Neodiprion lecontei: one gene and its partners. The main gene of each other region encodes a partner of the protein of the gene in region 2 in a complex. Links are inferred from orthologs where the notes say so. Each region holds a gene or a part of one and is shown on either strand. Other genes may lie near its edges. The genes, in order: RNA-binding protein spenito, zinc finger CCCH domain-containing protein 13 and N6-adenosine-methyltransferase non-catalytic subunit.

The links.
Region 1: zinc finger CCCH domain-containing protein 13 (region 2) and RNA-binding protein spenito share a complex: the UniProt entries of both Drosophila melanogaster proteins name them as parts of the WMM complex. The link is inferred for Neodiprion lecontei from reciprocal best matches to the Drosophila melanogaster genes Flacc and nito.
Region 3: zinc finger CCCH domain-containing protein 13 (region 2) and N6-adenosine-methyltransferase non-catalytic subunit share a complex: the UniProt entries of both Drosophila melanogaster proteins name them as parts of the WMM complex. The link is inferred for Neodiprion lecontei from reciprocal best matches to the Drosophila melanogaster genes Flacc and Mettl14.

What each region holds. Positions count from the first base shown.
Region 1 is NC_060260.1:35,832,800-35,843,790, forward strand, and holds RNA-binding protein spenito, read left to right. Parts: upstream 1-3,574; 5' UTR 3,575-3,950; coding exon 3,951-4,075; intron 4,076-4,603; coding exon 4,604-6,791; 3' UTR 6,792-8,432; downstream 8,433-10,991. Other genes in the region: tubulin beta chain, read right to left, coding at 223-385, 467-780, 904-1,076, 1,202-1,419, 1,521-1,639, 1,713-2,021, 2,245-2,301. UniProt on the Drosophila melanogaster protein: RNA-binding protein that acts as an associated component of the WMM complex, a complex that mediates N6-methyladenosine (m6A) methylation of mRNAs. M6a modification plays a role in the efficiency of mRNA splicing and is required for sex determination.
Region 2 is NC_060261.1:34,039,682-34,051,317, forward strand, and holds zinc finger CCCH domain-containing protein 13, read left to right. Parts: upstream 1-3,786; 5' UTR 3,787-4,153; coding exon 4,154-4,338; intron 4,339-4,555; coding exon 4,556-4,631; intron 4,632-4,844; coding exon 4,845-5,248; intron 5,249-5,315; coding exon 5,316-7,016; intron 7,017-7,357; coding exon 7,358-7,681; intron 7,682-7,763; coding exon 7,764-8,548; intron 8,549-8,624; coding exon 8,625-8,739; intron 8,740-8,935; coding exon 8,936-9,035; 3' UTR 9,036-9,391; coding exon of another isoform or gene 9,392-9,508; 3' UTR 9,509-9,575; coding exon of another isoform or gene 9,576-9,667; 3' UTR 9,668-9,753; coding exon of another isoform or gene 9,754-9,849; 3' UTR 9,850-9,881; downstream 9,882-11,636. Other genes in the region: protein Mo25, read right to left, coding at 667-849, 932-1,036, 1,107-1,271, 1,755-1,923, 2,015-2,133, 2,224-2,391, 2,465-2,566; SET domain-containing protein SmydA-8-like, read right to left, coding at 9,392-9,508, 9,576-9,667, 9,754-9,849, 9,912-10,098, 10,163-10,297, 10,377-10,742, 10,828-11,304. UniProt on the Drosophila melanogaster protein: Associated component of the WMM complex, a complex that mediates N6-methyladenosine (m6A) methylation of mRNAs, a modification that plays a role in the efficiency of mRNA splicing and is required for sex determination.
Region 3 is NC_060260.1:28,912,828-28,921,407, reverse strand, and holds N6-adenosine-methyltransferase non-catalytic subunit, read left to right. Parts: upstream 1-4,303; 5' UTR 4,304-4,443; coding exon 4,444-4,500; intron 4,501-4,608; coding exon 4,609-4,785; intron 4,786-5,013; coding exon 5,014-5,331; intron 5,332-5,411; coding exon 5,412-5,794; intron 5,795-5,896; coding exon 5,897-6,134; 3' UTR 6,135-6,358; downstream 6,359-8,580. Other genes in the region: protein bicaudal C, read right to left, coding at 3,857-3,901. UniProt on the Drosophila melanogaster protein: Non-catalytic component of the WMM complex, a complex that mediates N6-methyladenosine (m6A) methylation of mRNAs, a modification that plays a role in the efficiency of mRNA splicing and is required for sex determination.

The DNA of each region.
Region 1 (10,991 bases), on a different chromosome or scaffold from region 2:
GTGAACCAAAAATAGGAGCTTTTGACGTTTTATTGTTAAACAATCGACACTTTTTCATGCAACAGAGAAATCGTATTCAAAATATGAACAATACGAGTACGACTACAATACATCACCATCAGTGGCATATACAGGTATGTGTTTATATTTGCACCGCAAAATAAAGACAATAAGTAATCAAAATTTAACAAAAATTACATATCAATTTCACGCAGGATGAAACTAGTCTTCATTGAATTCTACATCCCCTTCAACCTCTTCGTCGTCCACGAACGCTGACTCGTCTGCAGAGACTTCTTGGTACTGCTGATACTCCGAAACCATGTCATTCATATTTGATTCTGCTTCTGTAAACTCCATCTCGTCCATACCTTCTCCGGTGTACCTGGAATGATGAAAATCAGTCGTATAAAATCATTGCTGGGACGATGCAGGCATGCGGTTGCTACGTGCGCTATAAACTCACCAATGTAAAAACGCTTTTCGTCGGAACATGGAAGTGAACTGTTCAGATATGCGTTTGAAGAGTTCCTGAATCGCAGTGGTGTTCCCGAGAAAAGTACCCGACATCTTCATGCCACAAGGCGGTATGTCGCAGACGGCTGTTTTTATATTATTCGGAATCCAATCGACGAAATACGAGCTGTTCTTATTCTGTATATTTGTCATTTGTTGATCGACTTCCTTCATCGACATTCTTCCACGGAAGATAGCCGCCACTGTAAGATATCTACCGTGGCGAGGATCGCAAGCTGCCATCATGTTCTTCGCGTCGAACATCTTTCATGTGATCGTAAAATGTATCGAAGGTTGAGTATAGTAAAATTGTAAACATTTATAGCTGGCTGCATCCTTGATTAGCATTGTATGATTTGCCTATGATTCAAATGGAGATCTCCTCACCTGCTGCGTTAACTCAGGCACGGAGAGAGCTTGGTATTGTTGACTGTTTCGCGCAACCAACGGAGCAAATCCTGGAACGAAGAAGTGCAGCCTGGGAAACGGTACCATGTTAACAGCCAGCTTTCGAAGATCAGCATTCAACTGTCCCGGAAATCTCAGACTGGTGGTAATTCCTACAAACATGTGCAAATCTTTGTATTGTACATATCGAACGATGGTTCTAAAGACACAGTGAACCCCATTATTCGTCAATGCTGTAATTATTGTACCCTCAGCTGCCACAATATATCTTACGCACCAGACATCGTTAGGGACACAAGGTGGTTCAGGTCACAGTAGGTGGGCGACGGTAATTTCAGCGTCCTGAAGCAAATATCGTACAGTGCTTCGTTATCAATGCAGAATGTTTCATCCGTATTTTCAACGAGCTGGTGAACGGATAAAGTGGCATTGTATGGCTCGACTACGGTGTCCGACACTTTTGGACTTGGTACTACGCTGAAGGACGTCATGATCCTGTTGAACAAAGTGCCGTAAAATTGTGTCTAAAAATATCAATGTCCGCAGCGGTATATTTGACGAGAAAATTCGATCATTTTTAGATACGTATAACATACCTGTCGGGAAAGTCTTCGCGGACCTTCGACATTATGAGGGTCCCCATTCCGGACCCGGTTCCTCCCCCCAAGGAATGACACAGTTGAAAGCCTTGAAGGCTGTCGCATCCTTCAGCTTCCTGCATATCAAGGTAATTTTCTGTATTACGATCATCACCCGCTGGACTATTGTTCGGACAATAATTTTCCTACCTTTCTTAGGACGTCTAGAACCGAGTCAACCAGCTCCGCCCCTTCTGTGTAGTGACCCTTAGCCCAGTTGTTACCGGCACCACTTTGCCCGAAGACAAAGTTGTCTGGCCGAAAAATTTTACCAAATTCACCCGACCGCACTGAGTCCATGGTTCCAGGTTCCAGGTCGACTTGAATCGACCTGGGAACATATGTGCTTTTTGCAGCTTCGTTGTAGTACACACTAATCCTATCCAATTGATCTCTCGCGTTACCAACATACTTTCCTGTCTGATCTATTCCGTGCTCGTTCGAAATCATGTGCCAAAACTACACAAAGTTTGGAAAAAAGTAAAAATAATGTATATGCTGCATATATCTCAAAAGTCTCATCACCTTTTTTTGGAATCTTACCGAGGTGCGAATCTTATATGTAACGCGTATCAGCCATTTTGTCCTACGAAATTTGATCTGAGACTAAATTTTTCGCACGATCCTTATATAATTCATCTTATCAAAATAGTAAAAAACCCTTAGAATTAGAGAGACTTACTCGTGCACCGATTTGATTGCCACACTGGCCCACCTGGACGTGAACAATTTCTCTCATCTTGATTCAATTTGGCGATGATACTTCGAATGACTTTCGTTATCAACTGATGCCAGACTGAATTGAAACCGTCACGAAAGTTGATTTTTTGCCACTGCAAGACGCCTGCTGTCATTATTGGTCACTTACCTCTCGTATACCTAATACAGGGCCGTCTAATAATTATTTCGATCAACGTGAATAGGGTTCCTCATAATTGTTACGTGACTCAAATTTTCAATCAATTGCTCAATGTTGTACATCGCATTGCTTTAAATTTTTAGGCTTGAATCAAAAGAATTTGTCTATCCGATAATTCTTTGTTCATCGGGAAGAACGGGACAAAATACCCAGAGCCTAGAAACGTATAATAGGCCGTCCCTGTAGCGTCGATTATATCTGCTCGAAAGGTCATCGTTATTGAAACCAATCAAAACATTGGGCAGTGAGCAGAATTGGGTAATACCATAATACACCTATAGGTATGTAGATACACAAAACTATGAACGCTACCACTGTAATATCAGATATAAAAGGTCTTGTTACCGAGTAGTTGGTGTTATTTCTCTAGGGCCATGAATTTTCAAATAATTCTGTATTCGTACAGATCTGAATGTTCGATTCAAACTTCAGGCACCTATGAGATGTGTGGATAATTTTTTCTTTTTTTTTTCTTTTGGTTTGAACGAGTTACATAGTCACACGTTATACGATCGGCGATTCAAAAAGCCTCCCAAAAATAGGGGCATTTCTTGCGAGTATGAGGATACGGTAAAGTATCATTTGTCCCTCGGTTCAGAAAAATTCGTGCGAACCCCAAACTGGGCAATTGTTCAGTTATTTCTAAATGACATTTTTTTGCAGGTGCTGTAATAATTCTGAAGTAAGTAAGCACATTGGGCTCATCTTCATCCAAGTAATGATTCTTCATTTATTTTCAACTGAAGCAGTACCGTAGTCTTATTTTTGAAAATGCGTGGTAGCGCCGAAAACGCCTGGGTACTTCTGTAGGCTGCAACCAGTCTAACAGGTATTTACCAAGGATTCATTTAATGTTAGTCAATGCTAATTGTAATTCTACCTTACCGACATCTTAACAATTCCGTAGAAGATCGTTCATCCGCAGACTTAGATTTTCAAATGGTATCATGGTGATAAAATTACCCATTACCAAAAACATTTTAGATCATAAACTTTTAGAATTCATAAAATGGTATCGAATTGTTACCGATGCAGTACAACTATACTCCTTAGTAATCTTACGCCAGCAAGGCCAGTAACCAGTAAGGCGTCGGCCGACGAACGGCTACGCGTTGACAAGTAGATCAGAATTATTAGCGATATTTACAAAGATTGTTAAAGCAACAAAGAGCGGGAAATAAAATTTCAAGTTTTAAAATAGTCATGAAAAAATAATTAAGCGTTAACGTGTCACGCTTATATCTAAAAACATAGCGTAAACAAACGGAAGCGGCAAGTAGCGGTGCTCCAAACTAGCCGACATTCATTGTGCCGTCGCTAAAGGGGGGAGAGGAAGACGCGACAAGGCACGGTCAGGAGACGAATGATCACCGCCATTTTGCTGTGCGTCTGTTGAGTGGAGTGCGTTTAGTTGACGCGGATAATTTTATTAATTATTTGTCAGTTATTTACGGTTTTCTGCAGCGTTGATGATTGGGATTCCGCGCGACGACCGCCACAAAATAACGGTTAAAATCCGAAATAATATGAAACGGAGCTCGAGTCGGGACACTCCACCGCCCCGTGTCAAGCGATCCAGATCCTCCATGGGAAGGTATGCCAAATGCTGTTCCACCTCAGGGTATCATAAATTCCAAACTCTTTTTACACTCTTCGTCAGTTGCTACGTTTTACTGAATTTCAATTCGGTCCGACGACCCTAGTTTACTTCTTACGCACGACGAAGTCGCTGGTTTGCCTGTTTTTAAATTCTTAGTATCGAGCTTCTACCCAATATGATTCGCAACTATCCCTGGAATCAACACTTCTGTTCATTGCTCTGAAATCCTTACCAACATTTTATTGCCCTAATCTCACGGTAATGTGGCATAAATCCGGTATTTACTGCTTGTTGACCACAGTATTTATGGTCAATATAACCTCCACTTGCGGTCTGCTGATGTGAAGCATCGGTTTTTTTTTCTTAGACGAGTAAGAGTATAATCTCATGCGCTGTTTTCAACCTCGTATGAATTCCCGATATGTGATTAGTTTCGTAATTTTTTGATAATTAAAATATTCTCGTTCTTTCTAAACTATTTTTCTTTACTTGTTTGACAAGAAATGTTGCCCATTTTTTCAGATACGATGATTCGAGCGATGAGAGGATTACACCGGAACGAATCAGACGGCGCTCTAGAGGGGCTCGGAGTCCGAGTCCTCCCAGAGCATCCTCTCATGCCAGATACGTTGAGTCCAGTTCTCACAGGGACGAGTATATGCGAGCACCCAGAGAGATACCGCCTGAGCGTCCGTACAGCTACAAGGTCCTCTGCGTGAGTTCGATACATCCAAAAGCAAGCGACGAAGTAATAAAAGATACCCTTTACCGGGAGTATAAGAAATTTGGTGACTTTTCCATACGAATCTCTCATGAATTGGACGAGCGAGTTGCTTATGTTTGCTTCAGAAGTTCCGAGGATGCGAGAGACGCGAAACATGCAAAACCAAGAATTATTTTATACGACAAGCTTGCCTTGGTTGAACCTGTTTATGAAAGACCCGAATCTTACCGACGACCCAGATCCATCACTCCCCCAGATTACGAACGTTACTATGCCAGGTCACCTGGGCCCACAGAGAGGCACAGACCGATTGAACGATACGAACGAGTTTACGGACCACCAGTTGGAGTTCCACCTCACAGGGAGCTCAGAAGAGAAACAATTCCACCTCCTCATCACGAATTTGTTCGTCCACCACTACACCATGGACCACCACATGTTCACCCTGGTCCTCCGCATCATTATGGACCACCCAGACACATGATGATTCGTCATCCTGTTCACGGTTTTGAGAGAATTGAAAATAAGAAAGACAAGTTTCCAAACTATTTGCATCATGTTTCACCTGAGGATGATCCACTGGCGACTCGAACCTTGTTTGCCGGTAATTTGGAGATAAATATTACCGAGGAAGAGCTGAGAAGAATCTTTAGCAAGTATGGAATCGTCGATGACATCGATATCAAGAGACCCCCACCGGGTACTGGAAATGCTTATGCCTTTGTCAGGTTCCAGACTTTGGATATGGCACATAGATGCAAAGTTGAATTATCTGGCCAGTACATTGGTAAATTTCAGTGTAAAATTGGGTATGGTAAAGCTACCCCAACGACTCGTATCTGGGTTGGCGGTTTGGGGCCATGGACATCCGTGCCTCAGCTGGAGAGAGAGTTTGATCGTTTTGGGGCAATTAAAAAGATTGATTACATCAAGGGAGATAGCAATGCATACATTTTATATGATTCCATCGACGCAGCCCAAGCTGCTGTGAAAGAAATGAGAGGATTTCCGCTTGGGGGACCAGATAGGAGACTGAGGGTTGATTTTGCTGATGTTACTCCCGGGTTTGGGTTCAAACCTAGACCGTACCCAGAAGACGCAGCTGAGTTTCGACCAAGACCAGTGGAATATGAATCTCCGTACGATCCTTATGCTCCTGAAGGTGAATTTGCTTATGCTCCAAGGGGATTCAGGGGTCGTGGAAGTGCCCCATGGCACGATAGACGAGGAGGAGGCAGAGGGGGATACCGTGGAACTGCTTATCCTGAGGGATATGTGAGAGAAGAATCTGATTGGCCAAGCCGCCGGCCACCACCTGAGCTCGAATATGAATCACCAAGGGGCTTGAGGCGCTCATTGTCTCGGGAACCAGGTGTAGATCGATCCAGATCACGTTCTCCGCGGAGAAGACCTGTGGATTCAGATTCCGATTCTGAAACAGCTAGAACAGGGATGCTGTCTACGTCACGAACTCTTCCTGAAGTTGCACGAAAGTCTATAGCGGTTTGGCAAGGCGCTTTGATATTAAAAAATTCTTTATTTCCAGCTAAATTTCACCTTACAGATGGAGATACAGAGATAATTGATGCGCTGATGAAGGATGAAGATGGGAAACATATGCTGAGAATAACGCAGCGTCTTCGTTTAGACCAACCAAAATTAGATGACGTTTCTAAACGCATACAAACATCCAGTTCACATGCTATATTTTTAGGTCTTGCCGGATCTAGCGCTACCATCACGAACGATGACGCAAACGTGCAAACTCGACCTCTAAGAAACTTAGTGTCATATCTCAAGCAGAAAGAAGCTGCGGGAGTAATATCTCTGTTGAATAAAGACACAGAAGGAACCGGAGTCTTGTATGCCTTCCCGCCGTGCGCCTTTTCGACCGAACTTTTGAAAAGAACTTGTCCCAGCCTTAGCGAGGAGGGTTTGAAAGAGGATCACTTAGTTATCGTTGTGGTGAAAGGCGGCAGTGCCTAAGTTACGCTTACTCATAAGGTTTATTAAAGGTAAACGTGCTGAATACTACAATACTATTACATTACTCGGTCAAAAATTTGGCTGATTTCCTCAATTTCTGGTTGAATTTTAAGGAAAGTAACTAATTACGATTAACGTACAGATGGTCTATACACAGAGTATTTAGCAGATCAGTGTTTCTAGATTGTCTCAAATTAATCACACTATATTACATCTGATTGTGCACATCTTTTTTTTTTTCCCCGAAACAAAGCTCTTGCAGAATTATTTGATTTTAATTATTCAACTAATGAGTAACAAAATCTGGAACTTGTATAGCTTCATTTTTCAGAAGCCCAAAATTTATCGGTTCATTTTTAGAATCAGCCAAATTGTAAAAATTGACGAAACCACGTCCAAGGGGGTATGCAATAGCCAAATACCAGGACATAATAATATGTTGATATCAAGTGACTGCTGTGGTCAGAAGAATTGAAAGTTCTGACAAGGCTGTTAGAAGAAGTACATGTATTAAGCATGGAAATAATAACTTATGGTTACGAAATGTTAGATATAGCTTCACGAGGTAAGCGCTCTGATAACAAAACAGTACATTGAAAAGTTGCAAAGTTCTTCCGAAGATTGATTTAAAAATGGAATACTTATTTTTATGAAGATGAAACATTATTTTAGTAATGTTCTGCATAACTTTTTTTTTCTCTTAATCCGAGTCATAAACGTTGGACCGTTATGGCATATGATATAATGGTGAATCATAATCTATTACATAACTTAATTGTAGTGAACCTATTCTAATTAGTATACATACTCAGTTAATTATCATGTACACAGTTCTTTCACATTTGTGATTGTACGAATTTTGCTGCAGTGCATAAACGTCTTAGGATTTATATATACACGCGTATATATAAATATAAATATATACATATACTTATGAAGGGATGCAAATTACATTAATTGATGAAAATTTTTTAAAGTAAGGTGTCTGCAAACTGAGAAATAATGGCAAAAGTATTTCTTACCTCACGCATTAATATACTTTTTTCTTTATCGCGATTTCTGTAAATAATGATCATTGTTATTCTTATACAAAATGCGAAAGGACTGGTCAACAACTAACTACTAGTTTATTGTTAAATTTACAGAATATCAAACGGTCACATCGTATAATGAAAATATTAAATTCAGTTAATTTACTTTTATATGATTTAGATTTTAGATGCATAAGATTTAAGTGTTTGTGCTATAAATTATCTGTGAAAATGATATTGAATTTCGTTAACATGGACAGTGATTGAGTGGCCGTGGGGAAAAATGAACAGCAAAATCTCTTCTAAAACCCTAAAAAAAAACTTCGTCTAATGCCGCGAGAATCATTGGCAACATGTTAAGAAATCTGTGAACTTTACCATAAAGGACTGTGTTTGGTGGTATTAAAAAAAGAAACTACAGAAATCTCCAATTGTGTACAGTGATGTAAAACAGTGCTTGTGTTCTCGCCTCCGAGGGTGTTATCATGAAGGTATGAAAATAACATCGATCTTGAAATCGAACCCTCAGAACATCTGAGATATGAGAAAGTCCAAATCGCACTCGGAGGCGAACTAAGGTGCGGTGGTAAAGTGTATCTGGTGTTGAAAAGAAAAGAAATGAAATGAAAAAATAGAGCCGATTGCAGACAAAACTATTGATTGTGTTTAATTTCTTAGATATGTCAAAAAAAAATATGCCCACCCATCAAGTTCAAGTTGAAATGAGTTTAGTTCAATTAGTGGTTGAAAATTATCAATAGCTGAGTTACGTCTGTGATTGTTTGTTCATAAACAAAAAATCAAGTTTGCGAAAGAAAGAAAGAAGGAAATGGAAGTTTCGAGTTATGCTAGGATATTCAAAGTTTTAAAACAGAGTTCGCCAAAATTAACAAACTATTCGGTTGATAAAACAATGCATGCTTGTGCTTAGAGAAGAACATAGTTGTTCTTTGGTCGTTTTTTTATCTCCATTTTTTTCTGTCGGCTTTTCTTTGATTTTAGTTCAGTGGTCGTGAAGTTGGTGTTGTGGTTTGTTATTCGACAATGTTTTAATACGCTGATCGATCTCAATCTCATGACAGATGGAAAAAGAAAATACGAGTTTTGTCAAAAACAAAAAGAAACTAATGATCTCAGTGTAACCAGTGGCTTGTGCCAGTTTATTTCTTGTTCTAAACAAAGTAGTTGCGAAATATTGGTTCTGAGTCATCATATTGCAAATCCAGAGAGATAATTGTGCTTTAGTGATCATGTGGCTTGTGATTAATTTGTCTAAGTTTTTGTTTATTTTTTTTTTTCCATCATTTACATTAAAATAAAAAAGTTTCTATTGGTAAAGAAGAAAATATTATAAACTGGCTTTTCGAAGATCGTTGCTAATTTCATAGTTTTGGAACTCTGGGTGCTAAGTTCTCCAAGTAAAAAGTTTTCGACACTGCTCTCCAAGTACCCAAGTTATCAATATAGTGAAAGAAATCATATTGTTTAAAATTTACGCTTTCTTCCTTACTCATCTTTGAGGAAAATGAAACTGTAAAAAGGAAAGACTAAAGGAGAGAGAAAAAGATTGACTATTGTTAGTTCGTCGTATTGACACGATTGTTGTTAAGGCTGGAAGTTCAGTGCACAACTTCCTCAAAATAAAACGAAAGTCCAGAAAATTTGCATGTTGCACTAGTGAAGTGAGTTTAGTGGTTCTCTAGTTCAATAGCAAGTTGGTGAGGTGTTCTCTTTTTCAGATTTTTGACCGCTTTCCAGGTATTCTGGCCTTAATATCTTTCAGAGGCAGAAATCATCGCATGATTTTCAATTCCACATAAAAATAAAAAAAAATAAGATTGAAGTGAGACCAGAAATTTTAATAGTGCTGGATCGTAGAAGTATTATGGTTTTTGCCTCTCAGAGATACTTAAGGATCTTGTTCCTCAACCACATACTGATCGTAGCTTAATAATGGTTCAGCCAGATTTTTTGGATTGTACGGTAAGTTGGGTCGCCGGGAGATATTTTTTTATGTTCCAGATTTCTAAACAATGCTGCCAAATCCAGCGGACTTAGATGTCATCAGAAGCTTTTAATGAATGCTCGAACTACAAATGAAGATTGATGTTGTATGATCTACAATCTTTGCATAAATAAAGCATTTTTTGATGTACATAAACAAAAATACCCACTAATCCTGTTATCGTTATTCAGAAAAAGCTAACATAAAAGGACGCACCTACAAGTTTAACATGTTTACACTATCAGCTATACTATGATTGTAAACATTTCTTATAATAGTTCAGCGATTTTTTACACTCATGACGCAAACCCATTTCTCGAGTTTCTGTTTTTAATTCTGTACAAAGATCTGAAATAGAAACGTGATTTTTTATATACAAACATAAAAGTGTGAAAGAACGTGTTCAATTGTTCAATTTTCGGTAACTAATGTTCTGTGCTGTCATAGAATATGCCATCAAATCGGTTGTAAAAATCGACGGTACCGAACGTTCTATTTGGCTCGTAGAAAAAAAAATGAATACGTTCACATCTAACGGAAATTGACAATTTGAACAATCGTTCGATGTGTCGAATTTCGCTGATAGTTTTTTTTGCTTGAAAATCCTGCGTCATGATTAAATAAATGTGATTGCGCGATTATTTACAATGACTTACCAAAATGACGATTTTTTCCCGAAATTTAGATTTTTGGAATTTTGCATGATTTTATACCTTTAGTACCGACTGATGTCAGTCGTTGATTGGAGAATATATGTCAGTCCTCCGTGAAAGCCGTTACTACAGGCAAAGTCGTCGGTACTCTGCATTAAAGTCGACTAAACGTATCGTTGACTGAAGAATTATCATCGCCGATACTCGTCACATCAAGGCGTGTTTCACTGAGAAAATAATGACACCATGATTAAAATATTTCATGATTAGTTACGTTTTCTAAGATTTCATATAATTTCGTTTTCTCATGACTACCAATCATTACAAAGTAGAATTTTATTTTAATATTGCTGATTTCAGTGTGATTTCGGAGAGTATGAAATCATTTCGAACGATATTAGTACCATGATTACTTGAGTAGAAGACCCCTTACGTGGCATTGCAAGTTAATCATTGTACAGTTTTGCAAATTGATTTTAATGAGGTGAGACATTTTTTACGTGTTGAATAC
Region 2 (11,636 bases):
ATACATTTGCTGCATATAAAATAAAAACTTGTGGAGTAAAATTAAGAGTATGGCAGCTACAATAAATTGATCAAAACTAGCTCAATCTCATCATTACGTAGATATGTAATTACGAATAAATTATATATGTATGTGTCAATGTGTATTTGTAAGCACATGGATAAAGCCTTTACGTCCCTCATTCTTAGGCATAAAAGATTTCAATTTGTCAAGAGTTCACTCTGAACCATTCTTGCATACTATTCACATTAAATCAGAAGAACAATATTGAATGTTTTGTATCTTCTTATTTAATCATCACTAAAAGTTGAGGCTACACTATCTCACAGAAGAAAAACTTTTCTAGGTAAAAAAAGTCAGACTACTATCTCGATACATGATTCCAAGTCATCTGAAAAAGGCCAAAGGGCCTACAAATATCGTGAAGAGTAAATTTTATATATTATTTTATTTTTGTTCGATTTTATTCTAAACGCATGCAGAAGGGTTGTACGAACAATTTTTTTTTTGTAGCTGCCATACAATCATCTTGAAAATGAATTTATTAATAGAATTAGGAGCACAGTATATAATGGTCTCTGAAGTCTGTATATTACAATAATAAATTGTGAATGTAAATTTTATTTACATAACTACTCAAAAATAATATTATAAAATGATTCCATCTTAATTTTCATGCACAGACTTAAGCTCTTTGATCTGCTTTATTAGATAAGCCTTTTCATCGTTAAACTGCTCGTCCTCTGAACGATCCGTGTGAAAACGTGTGAGGAATTCAATTAATTTTTCTTGATTGCGAAGCAGGATATCCAAAATTGGTTTGGGCTTGTTTGGATTGGCAACAAAAACCTGAAATCATTGGAGAAAGGCAATTGAATAAACGCACTCTTGTTTCATTGAAAATAAAATCACACTCAGGTGATTTTTCTACCTTAAAAACATGAAAAGCCTCAAATTGAATGTTACGTGACTTTTCCTTAAGCATATTCATCATCAGCTTTAAATTATCAGGATTTGAAATGTACCGAGTCATGACCTGTAACATATAAAATTATGTAGCAACAGATGTTATTTCACCATTTGATTGCTTAATCAAAACAACTTGCCGTGAAATTATGTCTATCCAGAAGGAGTTCTCCCAGTAATTTTAAACTCTGTCGACGTGTTACGTAGTTCTCAGAATTTAATAACCTTTGATAATGTGAGAAGACTTTGTCATAATTCACTTCTAAAAATTCAGCGCTAAGTATTTTATGTCTTGTTAACAATTCCTGAAACAATGAAACTCCTCAGAAAACTTTTTTTCTTTAACAATAATAAGATGTACATAGTAGAAACATATTGATTTAAATTAAATGCTCCAACTTTCTCAAGTTGAAAAAAAACCAGCACAAAATTTAGCTTTTTCTAACCCTTGGTGATGAAGTTTGAAAAATACAGTAGTTTATAGTAAAAAAATGAAATAATCATGTCACTGGGGTTTCTGTTATCATTCTTAATGGCAATCTATACTTTTTTCTAGCGTACCATATGGCATGTTTTTTACGTACATGAAAAGTTATTACATACCAAAACTCTGTAGCAATTGACAGTGAATGATTGGGTATTTCACAAAGAATTTATGAACATAATTTTCAAAGTTTCCCAGAGTGACAAAATTCTCTGACTATTGATGGTTTTTCCGATGTGTTGCCAAGATACTGTACCAACACATTAGTTTAAAAAATTACATATATATGTGTAACGACAACTACCTTAAATGTAGAAAAGGCATCTGATGCAATATCGAATGTCGAAACTTCGACATATCGAAAGAAATTATAAAAATCATCAGAATAAATCATTATTTTGGCCAATGCCTCATATCGAGCGCATTCCCTCAGCATCGTTCCACAATTTAATGCAATATCTTGATGCTCGTAGCTGAAAGTATAGGAATTCTCTGGTTAAGTTGATTGAATTTTGTTTGAAATTAAAAAACAAAACTGAGTATGATTTATATCTCACAACTTACCCAGACATAAGAGTGAATAATATTTCTGGCTTCGTACAAATATATTCAACTGTTGGCGATCGTGTGCCAATTTGCCTCCGTAAGATATTGTTGAATACCTGAGCCACATCTTTCTTCCCCTGAAGGAATCATACAAAATTATAACAACCTTTTCATATGCACTATTTTGTACTTTATCTCGTTGTGAAAGCAGAGGTTGATGAAGTCACCTCAAAATCAATCCGACTAAGATTCTGGACCAAGAGCAATAGCAGATTGCTGTTGTACAACTCCTGAGCTAGCTGAGCTACGACAATATCAGCTTGAGGCTCTGCTTCGGCGGTCCCATAAAGCATGTTTTTAATATGCACTAAATTTTTGCTGACATCCTCTTGAGCCTGGAAAGATGATTCATGTTTAAATACATAATAGGAATTCTTTTTGGCAGGAAACTGGCTACATGCTGCATACCTTCTCTACTTTCTTATCACCACGTTCCAGGGCATTAACGGCCTCTTTTAGAGCCTTTACAACCTCCGCCGGACTCTTTTGAGATTTTCCGAACAGAGGCATGATTTCTTAGAAGATGAAAACCTTGTGGAAAAATTCAAATTTCATACATTTAATTCATTGCACTGGTGAGCAAGGTATAAGTTGGAGTTTGAAGATGAGTAAAAAATATTAATTCAAGAACCAAAAAAGCAAGCCTGTGATTTAATGAAACATTGATTTGCTTAAACTAATTGTGACTAAGTATCCCTAGACTCCATAATTTTTCAGTATAGATTCAGAGATTGTAATGAATCGATTCATATAATGTTAGAGCTTGATAAAAATAGGAATGAATAGGAAAATTTAGATTGAAAAGCATGGGGCTAGCTTCAAAGTTTCAGAGTTGAAAAAAATTCGGAAAAAATCTAAACAGTGTTGAGTTGTACATTAAGATAACCTATCGCATAGAAATATAGTTATGTAACTTTGTATTTAAATTATTCAATAAGCTTACCATTCAATAAGTAGTTGAATCAATGTACGCAGTTGTTTCTTAGCACTTATAGCACAGATTTCCCTTTTAGCATTTCATTTATACGTAGAACGATACTGACGTATTTTGCGGTTATAAATAAGTTATTCGAAACCTGTCGAAAATTATATGTTTAAGAAACCTGACGTAGAACGACGTTCTCTATCAATTATTCAATGTGTTTTCAACTTTCCACAGTCTTTTTAATAAGTATTAATCTTTCTTAATCTTTTAATATATCGCATAACTCAAGATTGCCATTTATTACAAGCTCGACACTGACGACTGACATTGGGGGCTGTTAGGATTCACTATTGGTCATCCTTCTTATTACTGCTTGTTACTGACCGCTCCTATGTCCAATCAACTCGTAGATGTTATTTACGCTCCTTCAAACACGAATAATAGAAAATAGTAGAGATGGTAGAAATACTATAACTTCATGATGACTCTAGTGTGACGTTGTAGTCTGACGGTCGATCACGTAACTTTAATTTGGCGTGGCTTCTCTGTGAGCGTGTTAATACAGTAACGATCACACTGATATAAACACTTGAAACTCCATGGCGTTGGCTTAAGTTGACTGAAGACTGTTAAAGACGGTATACCCTAATGTGGTCTTATGTGCTTATCGGATTGCGTGTTAAACGGTTAGTGCCGATAAAGAAGCTACCGGATAACTATCCTGAACACGGCTTCTTATGGCCCAAGGCCCATTTACGCGCCGGTGTTGGTTACAAGAATTTGTCGAGGGGTTATCACTAATCACTAATCAGTAGGGGTAATCGTCTTTAAGCGTTCGGGAGTCTCTTTTCTTGCCAGGCTACCGGGTTTTTTCTTAATCTCCCGTTGAGGAAACTTCTGCATTCGGGGATGTGACATCACAGACATAACCTTTTCCAACTACCGAGAGATGGCCTCACTGCCATTATAAATGAAATAATTAATCCACGAGCTTAACACTCTTCATGGGGCTCGACCCTGCGATTTTAGATTAACTAATTTTGTATGGTGATTGTACCGGATCGTAGGTATCCATTGAGTTTGTTTTTGTGATAGAAGATAGCAAAGTGGGATTTTGCATACCGCAGTTATGTGCTTCCAGTATCAATTTAAAATCGTTTTATGGTGATAATATGTCAAAACCAAACATAAGAAAAATAACAGTTGACCCTTCGAAATGTAACACAGACTCTCGACGACCTAGCGTATTTGAGAGGTTGGGTACCAAACCACCAGCAACTTCCACCGGCCAAAACAATTCCGATTACTGTAGAAATTGGGCTCTGAATGGCAGTTGTTCGTACGGCAAAAGTTGCAAGTATGTTGATTATTTGCAACATGACAATTAGTGACCATATACAGCACCATAAATAATTGTCCTGAAATTCGATCTACCACTCTTTATCAGTAACACGTCGTTACAATTGTCAATATTTTTGTCAAATGTCATGAAACTTATTCATGATCTTCCAGTTAAAAATCAATTTCAAAGTCTTCTATGAAACAATTGGCACATTAACATTTATTTGTACTAGGTACGCAATCACGCACACACTGATCAGCCCATCAAAACGTGTGAAGAAAGATAATGCTCTTACTAGTGCAACTGTGGTAAGTGCCTTTGATTCAAAGTTGTCTTCTATATTTGCAAGTATTTCTAATTGAGAGATTTATCAAATTGAAATTCCTCCATCAGTTTCGATGATTATACTAACAAGTTTTTTTTCTATCCTTCAAGTGGTTTTGGAATTAATCCCAAGTATTTTTAAATATAATTAATAAATTGCGTTATGACGAATTACCTACCGTTGACTTTTACAATAGCCTAGCGAAGATCCATTCAAGCGAGTCACATCAAAAATTGTAAAAAAGACGTCTCATAGTCCTGATCTTAATTTGGAAGAGTGGAACCAGACAGATCTGGAATACGAAGACGAAAAAGCTTTAGAAAGAAGACTTCAGCTCTTACAAAGAGAATTAGAATTACAAATGAAGAAAGACAAGGAAATTCATGGCAAGGAAAAGACAACAAAACACAAAAAAAAAGCTATGAGTTCATCATCTAGTTCACACAGCTCTAGCACATCCAGCAGCAGCAGTAGCTCTAGTAGTGATGATTCCTCATCTAGCTCCACTTCGGATTCTCGCAAGAAAGTCAAGAAGGTCAAGTCTAAACGACATCACAGTGCATCTTCAGATTATGATGAAGATAAGGAACGAAAAAAGAAGTAAGTACAACATCTGGCATTTTAACTTGAGCTATATAATGTTTGTTATTTTTAATTTTTTCAACAGGCTTAAGCTTAAAAGACTGGGAACGAAGAATGAAAAACTTATCGTAAAAAAGAAACGCAAGATTGAAGTGTTGAGCAAAAAAGAACCAGTTGTAAAAGCAGCTAAGAAAGTTGCTATTTCTTCATCCAGAAAGCATTCTTCTACCAAGGTTAAATCACCAACCATGTCAGCACATGCTTCCTCCAGTAAAGTAAAGGAGCGAAACCGGAGTGAATCCCCAAAACCAAGGAGTAGGGAAGTGGAAAAAGATAAGCATCATAAAAAAATTAGAGAAGATGAGCCTTCATTGAAAGATATAGTGAAGAATAAGGCTACTGATAAATCAAAAGAGTCTGATAAAAATAAAAGTCGCATTGTGGAAGATCGTGTAAAAACTGATGAGAAATCAAAACAGAGAGTAAAAGATAAAGAAAGACGTTCTAGAACCCCACCTATTGAGAAATCTAAATACCAGTATCCTAAAGATTTTTCTAATACTAAATCGAGGCGCAGTCGAACTCCAGAGAAACCATTGAGGTCTAAACGAGAGGTAACTCCACTTCGTCACCAAGAGAGTAAAACATCTTCTGGAAGATCCAGAGAGATAGATAAAAAAGAACGTGACTCATACAAAGGAGATCGAAATAAAGACAAAGACGATATTCGTAAAAATGATCCATCCAAATCAAAGCCTTCGTCTAGCCAAGAAGACTCCCATCGTAAGAATGCGGTTCGAGACATCGAGGAGAAAAATTATGTCAGTGAACGCAATCGGCAGCGTAGCAAGGAACGTAGAGATAAGGAGCACAACTTAAGGGATGATAGAAGTCATTCAAGATTAGGCAGAGATCAGCGTGATTCTCAGCGAGAAAAAGAACGAGAAGAAGTACAGGAAAGGTGTCGAGATAGACAAAGAGAACGAGATCGTGAAAAAGATGCAGTTAAAGTTCGAGAAAGAGATATACCACCACTCATGGCAACAACTGCTATTAATCCTATGGATAAGAATGGTCGGTATGGTCGAGATAAGGATAGATTCAAAGATGGAGGGCTTGACAAAAGTGGACAGAGGGATAGACGGAGTGAGAGAGACCGAGAAAGGTCAGAAAAACCCTTAGATCGAGACAGAGCTTTACAACGATTTGATGCTCGCTATGACAGATCATTGGATAAAGAAATGCTGCCTCACAAAGGTGTGGAGAGAGATAGACAAGAGCGTTTTCCAAGAGAAAGATCTCTTGATCGAGTAGTTGACAAAAACATAGCTACAGGAGCTCGTGACCATGTTATGGAACGAGAAAATCTTTATGATCGGGACAGGCATAGAAGATTCAATCCTAGGTTTGACAGAGGGCATCCAGCCGATCATGAGCGCAAGGAGCCACCTCATATTCCATCAAAAATAGACAGACTACCGGAACGAAGAGATGGGTCCAGACGCAGCCTAGAAATAGAGAGAAACTACGATAGGGGCTATGCTCGATTGCCACCTGAGCATTGGGAAGAGCCTGAGGAACCTCCAAGAGTTGATTATCGAGATCACCACCCTCATGAAGATGAAAGACGTAAACCAATGGAACCAAGAAGGTACAACAGCCCTTTCGAAGAAAGACGAGGTAGAGATGAACGTCCATCACGCTATGCTATGCAGAGTGAAAGGCCTTTTGAGGATCCACATCTGCCCATATTTTCGGGTGAAAAAATGAGGTCTAGTGTAAACAGGTATAGACCATATACATATAAGATGAACTGTGCATGCAAACCTGAAGCCTGTGCAGCAAATATCAAAAAGCAGCAGTCTTTATATAAAAATGTGCTTAGTTAACCACACCTCTGGATAGTCATAATCACATTTTATCTTTCTCATACAGTAGCAGACACATTACTTCTATTGCTTGGATAGAAAGTGCGCAGTCCATTCTACATTTTAATGGTGTAGACTGATATTAGTTTACATAAAAATTGATTGTATCAGAACTGTCTGGTAGTGTACAGAACTTCATTTGAACTTTACAAATCTTCCAATAATTTTTTTAATCGTCATTTTTTTTTTTTTATAACAGAGACGAAAGTAGTAATGACAATTGGGATGTCCATCATGAGATGGAGCATGGTAGTCGAGACCGGAATTACCAAACTTCTGACTGGGAGGAACGTGAATGGAGAGCGGCTCGACCTCCGATGTGGGATAGAGAAAGTCCTCCACATTCAGAGGTTCATGAAGAAGAATGGGCTCCACGCTATGACAGCCCTATGCCTGATTGGAAGTTGAATGAAGGCCGAAAATGGGAAAGTTTGCCCCACAATCCACCCCACAATCCACCTCACAACCGAGGACACTACAGAAATGACAGAATCAAAGAAATAGACTTAGGAGAACTACATAGGTATTGATAATAATAATTAATATTTCGAAAAATTTAGAAGCATAATAGTACCATATTTTATATCAAAAGTTTGTGTTTCAAGCAAACGACGTCCACCCTATAGCACTCCGGAATTGAGAGATGAATGCTCTGCTCATGGGTCAAAACAAGGATCTTTACATGGCAGCATGAAGGAAGAACCGATAAATAAAAAATTGATGGAATTAGCGGAGGGTAGGGTCAGGAGGAGCAGAGAGAAATCTGTTGAAAATTTTCAGAAAAGAATTCCACAACGCGAAAAATCGGAAGTTAAAGAATCCCCTTTGGCTGCAGAACCTAAACGTCCATGCTTGGATGAATCTCTCCAAACTTTGCATACGGAGAGTGATTTGAGTGATATCAGCGATGATCCTGATGATATTTTGAATATGGAAGAAGAAGAAAGTGAGACACCAAAATTGCCCTTACCTAAAAAAGGTACAGAGATTAATGAACGAGACGTACTTGTACAAACTCCAGAAGCCTCACAGTTATCACCAAAAGAAATTGTAGAAGAGACTATATTTACCAAGGAAAAAGATACAAACGAACAAATGGAATTCCGAAATATCGAAGAAGAAAATATTGAGAATATGGACTTTGAAGAAATATCCGATGGAGAACTTGAGGAGGATATTAAGACAAGCGGCAAGGGCTTGGGAGATGCTTTGGGTGTAGATTGGGAAAGTTTAGTCAAAGAATCTCAGCCTCGTCGAGTTCTTACCATGAATCAAAATACTGCTCAAAGTCGCTGGCAATGTAAAGCTATATTCCAGCGCATTGGTATCTCTATGAAATATGCAGGGGCGGAAATGGTAGAATCCATAACAAAGAAGTACTGCATAGATGGTAAATCTATATTTTACATATTACTAGTGTTTACTATAATAGCTTCAATTACTTCTTAATTCCACGCTACTTTCAGATGCTGATAAATTTCTTCTGAATGACGTCGCCCTTCTACACACTGCAATCATGAGGCAGCAATTTATGACTCGGACATCAAGAACTTCATTAATCAGCGAAAATTTACTATGCAGGTAAATTGAGTACAAAAGAAAATAAAGATGCATATTTAGAGAACCGTTGGAAAAGATTACCCAGATTGGTGAAATTTTCGATTACATTTACATAATAGACTTGTCCATAATTAAGATGAAATAATATGATGTGTCATTAATTGATATTTGCCACGCAATTGTAATGAAAATTAATTTTGGTTATTTCAAATTACAGAAATTATGCTGAGGCAAATGAGGACGATGATGAAGAAACTCTGCAACCTTGCACGAGCTTATGTGAAGAAGCAAAGATATTATTACAAAAAGTTACATAGACATTTCTCATATGCATTGCAATTGTTAATATTTTTATCTTTGTATCATTGCTAAGCATAGTTACTTAGTACTTAGAATATATTAGGGAAAATTGTACGTATTCGTGGTCTTAATATATATAATTCTTTTGTGCGCCTTTTTGTATCGTGTAACTTATGAACGACTCGACCGATTGAGATCATATTCACACAAGACATTTGTATTGTCGAGACGATGGTTCATAGCTATGCAAAGATTGATTTTTTTCAACCGCGGGTCAGATTAGCTTCGGTTCTAGAATAGGTCATTAAATTTAAATGCGGGCGAAGCATGTGAATGTGAATTTAATATTCACAACTTCATAATTAATTTATATTTATTTTTTTGTCATACCAGAAACAAGAGACAACAAATCTTTGGGAGCAGTTAAGTCATTTTGTAATATCAATATCGCAGTCTCAAGCAGGTTCTTACTTTCTTCATTCACCTGAAACTACGTCACGTAAAAGAGTCAATATTCATGATAATTATTTGTTCACAGAAGTCTAAGAATTTTGTACCTGTGACTCAGACTTCTCAATATTAGTTTCTTCATTAAATTGGCGTTTGTTCAGCTCCATCAATGTACTATACAACTCATAAGAGATCAAGCCTAAAATGAGCAGTTATTGAATATTAATGTGGCCACAAAAAAAGATATGGAGAGACGACATTGCAAATATATGTTTCTTAAACTACCTTTCATCTTACATTCGCCACATTTTAAAGTCTCAATCAAGCGTAATAAATCCCTGCAGTATTTTTCCTTGATGCTGAGCTCATCCTTTGTCAAATCTGTAAATCAATTCGACAGAGATACACAACAACCTTCAAGTTTGCACAGTAATTGTATTTACCTTCCCACAAAAACTTCTCGGTTCTTCCAAGACAAGATATTATTCTGAGTTTCATATCAACTGCAACGTAATTTGTTGCAGGTACCAAGACCGACAGTTCACTTTTCATGAATCGCAACATCTGCTTAGGACTTTTGTATATCATCTCTTCAACTATACTTCCCAAAGCTGATCGAATTGAAATAATCTAAAAGAAAAAATCAAACGAAGTTTATAAGTACATACTTGTCTGTTTTACGTATGTAACATACTTGTCTGTTTTTCAGGCGTAATCCGCATTCTCTGCACTCCCACACTGTTGAAGTATCTAAAGGTTCAACAGCGACTAAAATTCCTGAACACTCCTTACGAGCACAACGCAATGCTCCAAGCAAAGATCCATTTTCCTAAGAAGTTATAGAAGATATTGTAATTTTATATAAGTATTTAAAATTATTTAGAGGCACATAGTCAAAATTTAAGTACTAGCGGATCAGTGCATCTACTGCATGTGCAGAAGAAATGTTTAGTGGCAGCTAAATGTCGTCTTCTTAACGTTGTATCCCAAAACAAATCTGTGTAAGTCATAGTTATCTCCTCGTTTTTCTTAATGGGAATAGCAGCTGTTACATATAATCTCTGTTGAGAATCGTAATAATGACGAGTATTGGGTGTACAACAATGATTCTGCAAAGCACCCATTGGGTATAAGCCTCGCAAGCTTGTGACAGACTCCCCAACTATTGCAGCTGTTTCAAACGAATTAGTATCCATTACTGCACACACTCGTCTCATGAACTGTTCCTCTATTTGATTCATTTGAATTTTTATACTGCTCTTTAAAAGATCTATCTGTGAAAATATAAATTCATACAATGACTTTCATATTTTTAATTTGACATACAGTGTCTTTTTTTCACTCAAGTGGTGACCTGACCTCTGAACCATGCTGAGGCCCGGAGTGCCACTGCAGAGTGTAAAGTAGATCTCGCTGTTGCTCGTCTAATAGAAGTGCTCTGATTGGAACTAGTGCTCTAAGTAAGTTAATAGACCAAGAAGAACCGCAAGTGGGTTTCCATGCTTGAAGGAGAGAGCATTCAGCATCGTGTTCAACTGAGAGTTCACAGGCAGAGGAGCAAATTGGAAGGCTGCATCCCTTGTCACAAGGAAACAGAGGACAACCGGTCTTATAGCACACGATGCAGAGCGGCAAATGCTTATCTCGTGTTCTAGGCCCAACTACCAGTGGGGCGTCCACAAAGACAAGCTCTCCAACTGCAATATCTGTTGTGGCAAAAAGTCCTCGTCCTCCTAACAGAGACCCCCCAACAAACCAACTCCTTGAGCCATCCTTTGAAAGATTATTTCTTTCCAAATGAAGGTTCAACATATCTGTGATCACTTGTTGTTCCATGGTCTGGTGCAAATTAATTTCTAATTTAGTATATTATTTCTGCATTAAAATGTAAACTCTCAGTAATACGAGATAATTTACATATTTATTATGAGTCTAGTGAAGAGTATCAACATGTACCATATTACCTAATTACGTTAGCTAGTAAAATCTAAACACTTGTTCACTTTTACTTTGGTAACATATTACTTACATTTGTGGCTAGTCATCAGTTAGAAATTTCGTTCAGCTAGTGTACTGTTCACATTGAAGGGAGTATAAATTGCACTGCACCAATGCCTCCTGTAGTATGTTTAAAAATAGGACATTCGATTCCAAAATAAATTGGCCTG
Region 3 (8,580 bases), on a different chromosome or scaffold from region 2:
TTGACAATGAGATAGGGTCGTCGCTCTTCTTGCAGTTTCAGGGACGATGCGTGAGGCATGCAGTCGTCCGAAACCGCGGCACTGACACTCGACTTTGCACGTGAGTCGTCGGCACAACCGTCAACCGAATCGCGGGAGAAGAGGCGAATAAACGAATCGAATGTAATTAAAAATAAAGAAAGAGCAAGTAAGAAAGCAAGAAAGAAAGAAGGCAGGCAGTTAGGCAATCAGTTCCCCGCGGCGAACGGCGATGCAGCCCTGCGGGTCCCGAGGTGTCACCTCAGCATCACCCGATCTCCGACCTCCCTCCTTTTTTTCTCTTACGCAGTTTTTTTTCTGCGCCGTCCCGCGCGTTATTCGCTAAATTCGAACGAATATTGAACGCTGTGGGAGAGCCGTGACACCGATACTCGCGACGCTTTCAACCCGACTGTCGTTCTCCGACTCTTCGCGCGTCTTGGAAGTTAAATCGACGGACCTAGGCTCGACAGAATTGCCGCTGGATAGGAGAGAGGAGAGGAGAGGAGAGGAGAGGAGAGGAGAGGAGGGGAGGGGAGGGGAGGGGAGGGGAGAGGTGGGCGGCGAACGCCGGATCGAATGACTCGCGTCGCGCAACGTGGTTCCTCTTGCCGGCGATTCTGGCTCTTATCGTTGTTCAACCTTTAAACGAGAGGCCGTTTACTTGGAAAACAAATCAATGATTACCATGGGTTAACATTGATTGAGAGTGATTTCTATCGACTTTTACCCTAAGGGCAATTTCGCTTAGAGATCCGGTAACGATTAGCGATTGGTATACGTTTCAATGATTTCACGTGATTCCTAACAATTTCACTCGACTTCATGCGATTCCAACCGATTTCAGGTATAATTTTAAACAACTTAAGGTGATATCAAACGATTTCTGGTTGAAAACTAAAGGCTAATTTTCAACGATTTCTTATAAATCGCTTCGTGTAAAGTGGTTTACGATCTCAAGTAGTGACTATTTCCTATTGCTTCTACCTAATTTGCCTTTTATTTTCAATGACTTACGAGCGCTCTAGACAATTTTCAATAGAGCTACGACAAATCACTGGTCATTACCGTTATGTTTACACATATAACGCTGGGAAACCATTGGAAATCACTTAACGGTAAACCATGACAATAAACGGATGGTACAGTATCATAAAGACGGAAATCAGTAAAATTTTAATGAATGGAAACAGTTTGACGTCTACCCCGAGACTTACTGTATACATCGATTTCCAATGTTACCCCTCGTTTCCAATTATTTCTGAGCTTTCTGGACGATTTTTAGCGATTTGCGCATTGAATCAGTTCAAATGGAATCACAAGAAATTACCGAAAATCACCTAGTCGTTGGGAGCTCATTGGAAATCAATGAAACTTAAGGAAAGCACATTTATGAGATAAAAATCAGCAAGTATAAGAATGTTATTGAAATGAAACCGCTTCGCCTTCATCGCAAGACTTGCATCGATTTCCATATGATTTCCAACGCTTGCTTTTCGTTTCTTCAGCGCTATCCGCATGTGATTCCACACCAGGAGTCGCAATGATGTTCAATGACTTTGAGTCAATTTTTACGCCTCTCTATGTGAAAGGATATTTCAGTTATGTGACAGCGGTGAGAAGCAAGGTGATTCATTTCTCACCTTTGATCAACGATACGACGTTTAACAATTCAATACACTCGTTATCTATCAACCGATATACAACCTACCGCGCGGCGTAACAACACTTTTTACGTTTCCGGTTTCCGGCCGGCCACCCGAATTATATTCGTAGGCACAAAAGAACCTGGAAATATTTCTCAATTTTTCGTACACGAATTACGAAAAATATCTTTATACCGTTTAAGGAAATTGCCGGTGAAGCGAAATTCAATACCTCTGTAATAGTTGACTTGATTACAAGATAGTCAAACATTGAGAATTCACCAAATTTCTATATATTTGTAGGATATAGTGATGTTCGTTAAGCAATTCAAGAAAAACAAATTGTCGTTAGACATCAATTGTTCATTTCAAATCAGATTAGGTTAGTTAAACATCTAATAGCTTCGTTTGATTTCGCTCCACGTCTGGGCTTATTTTCGTAGAAAAACTTATACATTTCACAGATTCACTGAAACGCTTCTTGTTTTGTCAAAAGTAAATTCAATGTTGTTCGTTGTTTTTTTTTTTTGTCCATCAAAACCAGTATCAATGCAATCTTATGAAATTGAATATCGACCTATACCAACATGACAAGTCAAAGTGTCTCAAGCACGTTCGTGGAATTGTAGAGAAGGGTCATTTCAACACAAAATAAGCCATCGTGGAATGAAATCGAACGAAGCCGTCAGATTTCTTCTTCGCAGTAACGTTACTAACTTCATGCTCATGAGTAATTACGCTTTCGGTACCAGGATGGTGTTCCAGTCGGTATTTACCTCTTCTACCATATACCTTGTGAATTATTCTTATACTACACAAGGAAGAATTCGGGTTGGAATGAGTAACCGGGTCTTTTAAATAAAAACACGGCAGTTGCGCTGGCAAACTAGCAACGGACAACAACTTGCCGAGGCATAAAAACCCTCACGGAGTAGAGGGGAAAAGCCCGAGCAAGCCAATGAAAGATAGTGAACTTGTTCAACAAATCAAGTAAAATCCAAGTACGTGAAATGACGCACAAACCACTGCAAGCCGGAGGCTTAATTTCCAACTTATGTTAAGATGTCACAATGAGAATGATCATTCGCTTAGCTAAAACAATTAAGAGAGCTCTCTTACCTACAGGATGGGACAGCCCTCGGGATGTCGTAGCAATGTACGTCAATTGGAGAGGAATGTAAACGTCTTGGAACAAGTCGCGGCAGGTGCGCGTCGGAATAACCGGGACCTCCACGAAACCAGTTAACAGAATTTGCAAATTCACAACACTAGAATGACAACACTGAGAAATCACCAGACTTGATATCTCTCCGTTCGCAAGAACCGTCCACTCCGATATCTTTATACCGTCTGGCCTGAGTCGAATGCTTTCCAAGTCCTGACCGTAGGCCACCCTTCTCCACACCGGTGCAAGGGAAGGCAACTCAGGCCTTTTCCGGAAGGTCCCAAATCCAGACGCTTTCTGTCTGGGTTCCGTTACTTTCAAATAATTTTACAATTGTCCTTATTGTCCAAATTGACACCGTCTGGGAATGTAAGGACTAAGCTTTATTAGACCCGTCGCGGTCAGTTTCAGACCCCTGCGGCCTTCTCCAAACCTGCCGATCGAACCATGGGGACCTCCATGCCACCATATCGAGCGCGCGAATATGCGATTATAAGACTCATAAGTAAGAAACGCAAGTGAAATGAAATGGACGAATGCAATAAAGCTAATTAAGAGGCGAAATCCCTTTGCTCTACACTTTACAACGTGGAAGCGCACTAGGCGCGACGACCTTGAGCGTGCGGGCGTTCGGTAGCGGTGAATTTTAAGGAGAAAATATCGAATGATTCAATTTCAGATGACAAGCAGTATACGTTATATACATAAATATCAAAAAATTGCGATTTATTTTAAAATTTATGGGAATATATAAGAAACTTCGCAGTCATTACATTTATACCACTAATTTAGACAGTCAAAGTATAAGGACGAACAGTATAAACTAAATCCACTTCGAAAATGATATTTCCGCAATTATGGAAATAACAGTTTGAAATGCATACATACATACTTATATCGCACATCACATTACTGTTTATGACAGTCATCTTCCGCCCTGAAAGAAATACTAGAGGACGCCAATTATAATGCACTTACAATTAACTACTTTTCCTGCAACCATGCTTATTATAAAAGAGCGGCTTACCGTTTTTGAAGAGGTACGACATAGCCGCGCAGCATTTCGTCCCATAAAACGTATTCATTCATTTTACATCACATGTGTCGAGGTCCGACGAATTAATAAGCGCCCGTCACAACAAGACTTGATGTTATTTTTTCACTCTACTCGCCTAAACACATAATGAATTTGCGACTAGCGCTTTATTTATTATTACACTCGCGAGTTTGAATTGCACCGGAAGTAATTGCATTCTCACGATTCACCGCGGCGTTTGATAAATTACGCAATTCATTCGGAGGTCGACAGTTCCGAATGTAAAGAGCAGACGAAGGAGCGAACTACGGACAACGGATCGCTGCACCCCGCATCAAACTATATATGAAACTGAATTTACTGAACCCCCCGATGCAGTTCTGAGATCCAATATATGTCATGCATTCTTGGAAATTAATCTAGTTCCGCTCTCCGGTAGGCTCCGCCACTTGGCAGCACAACAGATTGCTTGTCAGCTTACGTATGGGTGTATTTTCGGCCACCTGCTACATGTCGACAATTTCGTGCCTCTGTTCAGTTTTACTTTAGACAATATTTAAAATAACAAGGAGTTTATAATGTTGCAGACACTTCGAGAGCGCTCTAAAAAGCGAAAGAAATTATTGGCTCAAACGGTGAGGACACACTTCTCGCTGATCAGTCAGTCTAAAATCGTGTTTCTGATTTTGAGGTTATGTCTGATGTAAACACGTTATAATTTGTAATATTTATGTTATTTTCAGCTTGGGGTTTCGAGCGTGGATGAGCTTAGACAAGTTTTGGGTACAGACATCAATGATGCACAAAGGAAACGTGAAAAAATGTCATCTGTCAAGTCGGATGACGACCTTAGAGAACAGAAGGATGACACAGTGTCAACCAACGAAATAGTCTATAAAGATTCTTCTACGTTTCTTAAAGTATGCAACCTCTTAATACTATCAGTTTTTTTTCCAGTGTTAGTAATTGAATAATGTTTAAACAAAAAAAAAAAAAAAGCAACCCTCTTTGTGTACTTTTAGGAAAACGCTCAGAAATTTGTAGTAAACTATATTTCACCCACTCTTGCATAACTTTTGTATTAGGTGTAAAATCAGTTGTAACTTGGATTCACATTCATACCAAATGATACCCTTTTCTTCAATCAGGGAACACAATCCTCAAATCCCCACAATGACTACTGCCAACACTTTATCGACACTGGACAACGCCCTCAGAATTTTATACGAGATGTAGGATTGGCGGATCGATTTGAAGAATATCCAAAGTTGCGAGAGCTTATTAAACTTAAGGATGACCTAATTTCAGACACTGCAACTCCCCCCATGTACCTGAAAACCGATCTCCTTGCTTACAATCTGAAAGAACTAAATTGTAAATTTGACGTTATTCTCATTGAGCCACCTCTTGAAGAATATCAAAGGACATGTGGAGCCACAAATGTACAACTTTGGAATTGGGATCAGGTTAGGCATGGTCGGTAATGAATTTTTAGTAAACCTGGTCAACGCACCTTTAACTAAGAGTCATAATAATTTTTTTCCAGATCATGGAGCTCGACATAGGCGAAGTAGCGGCAAGTCGTAGTTTTGTATTCCTCTGGTGTGGTAGTAGCGATGGATTAGACATGGGTAGATTTTGTTTGAGAAAGTGGGGCTTCAGAAGATGTGAAGACATTTGTTGGATACGTACGAATATAAATAATCCTGGACACAGTAAAAATTTAGATACTAAAGCAGTTTTGCAGAGAACAAAAGAGCATTGCTTAATGGGAATTAAAGGGACTGTACGAAGATCTACAGATGGTGATTTTATTCATGCAAACGTAGATATTGATCTGATTATATCTGAGGAACCTGAGTACGGATCTATCGAGAAACCTGTTGAAATTTTCCACATTATTGAACATTTCTGCCTAGGCAGAAGACGGTAAGTACCATGCAATTTCCAAAGATCTTCGTTAAACCCAAATCTCACTTCTTGTTGCTAGCAAATGAGATTATTATATCTTCCCTACTATTTCTTTAACAGATTGCATTTATTTGGGCGTGACAGTACGATCAGGCCAGGCTGGCTTACAGTGGGACCAGAATTGACTAATACGAATTTTAACACTGATCTGTACACTAGCTATTTTGCAACTAGCCAGATCACAACTGGATGTACCGAAAGAATAGAAGCACTCAGACCCAAATCTCCACCACCGAAAGGAAAAGTCTCTGGCAGAGGGAGGGGTGGTTTCAATCGAGGTCGGGGGAGAGGCAGATAATCTGTAATTCCTAATAGATTACAAGTTTTTAACGATTATCGACTTGAACGCACAAAAATATCTCATGCCGAATACAAAAGAACAATTTTTTATCAATTAACCTATTTATGACAACATGCTACATCAACTGATAGTGATGCTGCTCAATAGTATTCTTTCTTGTTAGTTGTTTACAAATGCATACTGTACGTTTCTGAATCAATAAAGTGAATTTGAACCTCTCATATTGGATAATTGTTTTTTTTTTGTTCTTTAGTAAGTAGGTATAATTGCATTACACAACCAAATTCTGTTTAACAGGGTTTGAAATATCTAAAAATGTGTATCAAGTTAACGGTATTAATCATCGTGAATTCAATATCCGGCTGTTGCAATAGCTGTACTTTGCTCTGTCTGCTTGGACTCAGCAAAACACTGTCGTTACTTCATGTTCTTAAGAATTTGTCATTGTCATCGACTGGTCATAATACTAATAAAATGACTGGAGAAAATGCATGGTTAAAAGCCTACATCTTTTACCATTCCAAAATTGCTGTATTGATTACGAACTAAAAAGAATAAAGTATTTTCTTGAAATCATAAGTCTGAAAATTATTGATCAAATTCGTTTATTTAAATGCGGAGTTAAAAATTAAAATATAAAATTCTCTCATGTTAGATCATAAATATAACGCTAGAGATGCAAGACGCCAATAGAAACATAAGGATGAACACAGAAGAATAAAATAGATTCCAATGACGTAAACCACCGATAGCTCGATGCTGAACAAAAACTCATCTCCAAGTTATGTTTACGAGATATAACCGGCAAACATATGTATAAATATGCTTTTCCTAATACTTCCACCGGTATCGTGCACCTTCACACTAAACTTGTATGTTATTCAAGTATGTTCTGCAAATGTGCATCGACTGCTCTCTACACCATTGCAGGAACATTACCACTAATGTGTTAATCTACGAAGGGAAAATGAATAAGTTATTTTCTGAACACAGAAAAAAATTATATTATGTGTCTAACAGCGTTTAAACACATATGATAGTCTGGATGGTATTGCACCTTCCTAGAATTATCTATGTGTAGCTGTGTTGGCAATACAGCCAATATTGGCCTCGAATATTCTGCTTACACAGAAATAATTTATAGATTAAGAAAAACAAACTACATATTTGTATTCCTTCGGGAAAGAAGAAATTTTTATTTTTTAGTCTATGTGAGATCAAGTCAACTTGTTTGTACTCTATAGGTTGAATTGAACAATACGGTAATATGAAAATAGGTAATTCATAATAAGTATAAATACTTGATTCACAGCTCTCATCTGTTATTAATATGGATTTACAAACGAGTACTTTGGGAAGAATCTGACAATATGTATCACGAATTACTTTCAATGCAATAGAGATGATCGGTATTTTGAGACTATGTATCTTGATTCTGTCAAAGTTCTGAACTCCTGCAATTCGTCTGATAAATTCCACTAATGAGTAAATTCACAATAACACATAATTCATCAGTATTTAACGTAGCTAAATTACATTGAGACAATTTTTTAAACAAATCGAGTGCAACAAATTATTATCATAGATCGAATTAATTATTAATGTTATAACTGAGTTCAGGTATTTTCTATTCGATGAGGTAACGTTTTCATGTTTCAGTAAAATTACAGAACAATTCTGCGAACCAAACCTCGATAATTTGTTGTAACATAGTTGTGAAGTAAGGCAAAACTTATCCCAAGTGGCATTCGTTCGCGTAAACAATTTCAGCAACATTTTGGCTTACTTCATCAGTGAGTAAAAAGTATATTAAACACTACATATACTAGATTTAATTATTAATCTATCGGTTGACACAATAAAAGAGACGTCATTATTTAAAAAAAAATGAAAAATTATGTAATCAAATATCAATTCGAAGCACACTGTTTCACGTATCATATTATGAAAAAGCAGCGCAATTGTGCATATTTCACTGCAGGTATATTTTATAAAATGGTCCATTCTACTAACAAAACGTGAAGGATTCATAGAAAAACCTGCGCAAAAATCAAGATTGGTATAAAAATATACGACGAGTTTATATAACTATGCTGTACAGTGTATAATAGAATTCTAAGAGATGTCTTCAAAAAGATACAATTGTAACTTAGCTTACTTTAACTTAAATTAATTGTATATGCTAATTGAATTTTTCTAAATACACACAATTGCGCAATTGCAGCTTGAATGAAAGAAATTTATAACTCGATGTCACGTAATTAATCGACGTGACGATTTTGTGCTACTTGTTTATTACATGTAAGGACTGAACTGGGGGAGCTGTAATTATGTAGCCGTCGTTCATGACTCGACTTGGCAAAAAATAAAATCTGTCAAGCCTGAATATTGCAAGAAAGTAACACCTAATTTTACTATAACACCCTTGCACAGACGATAATCA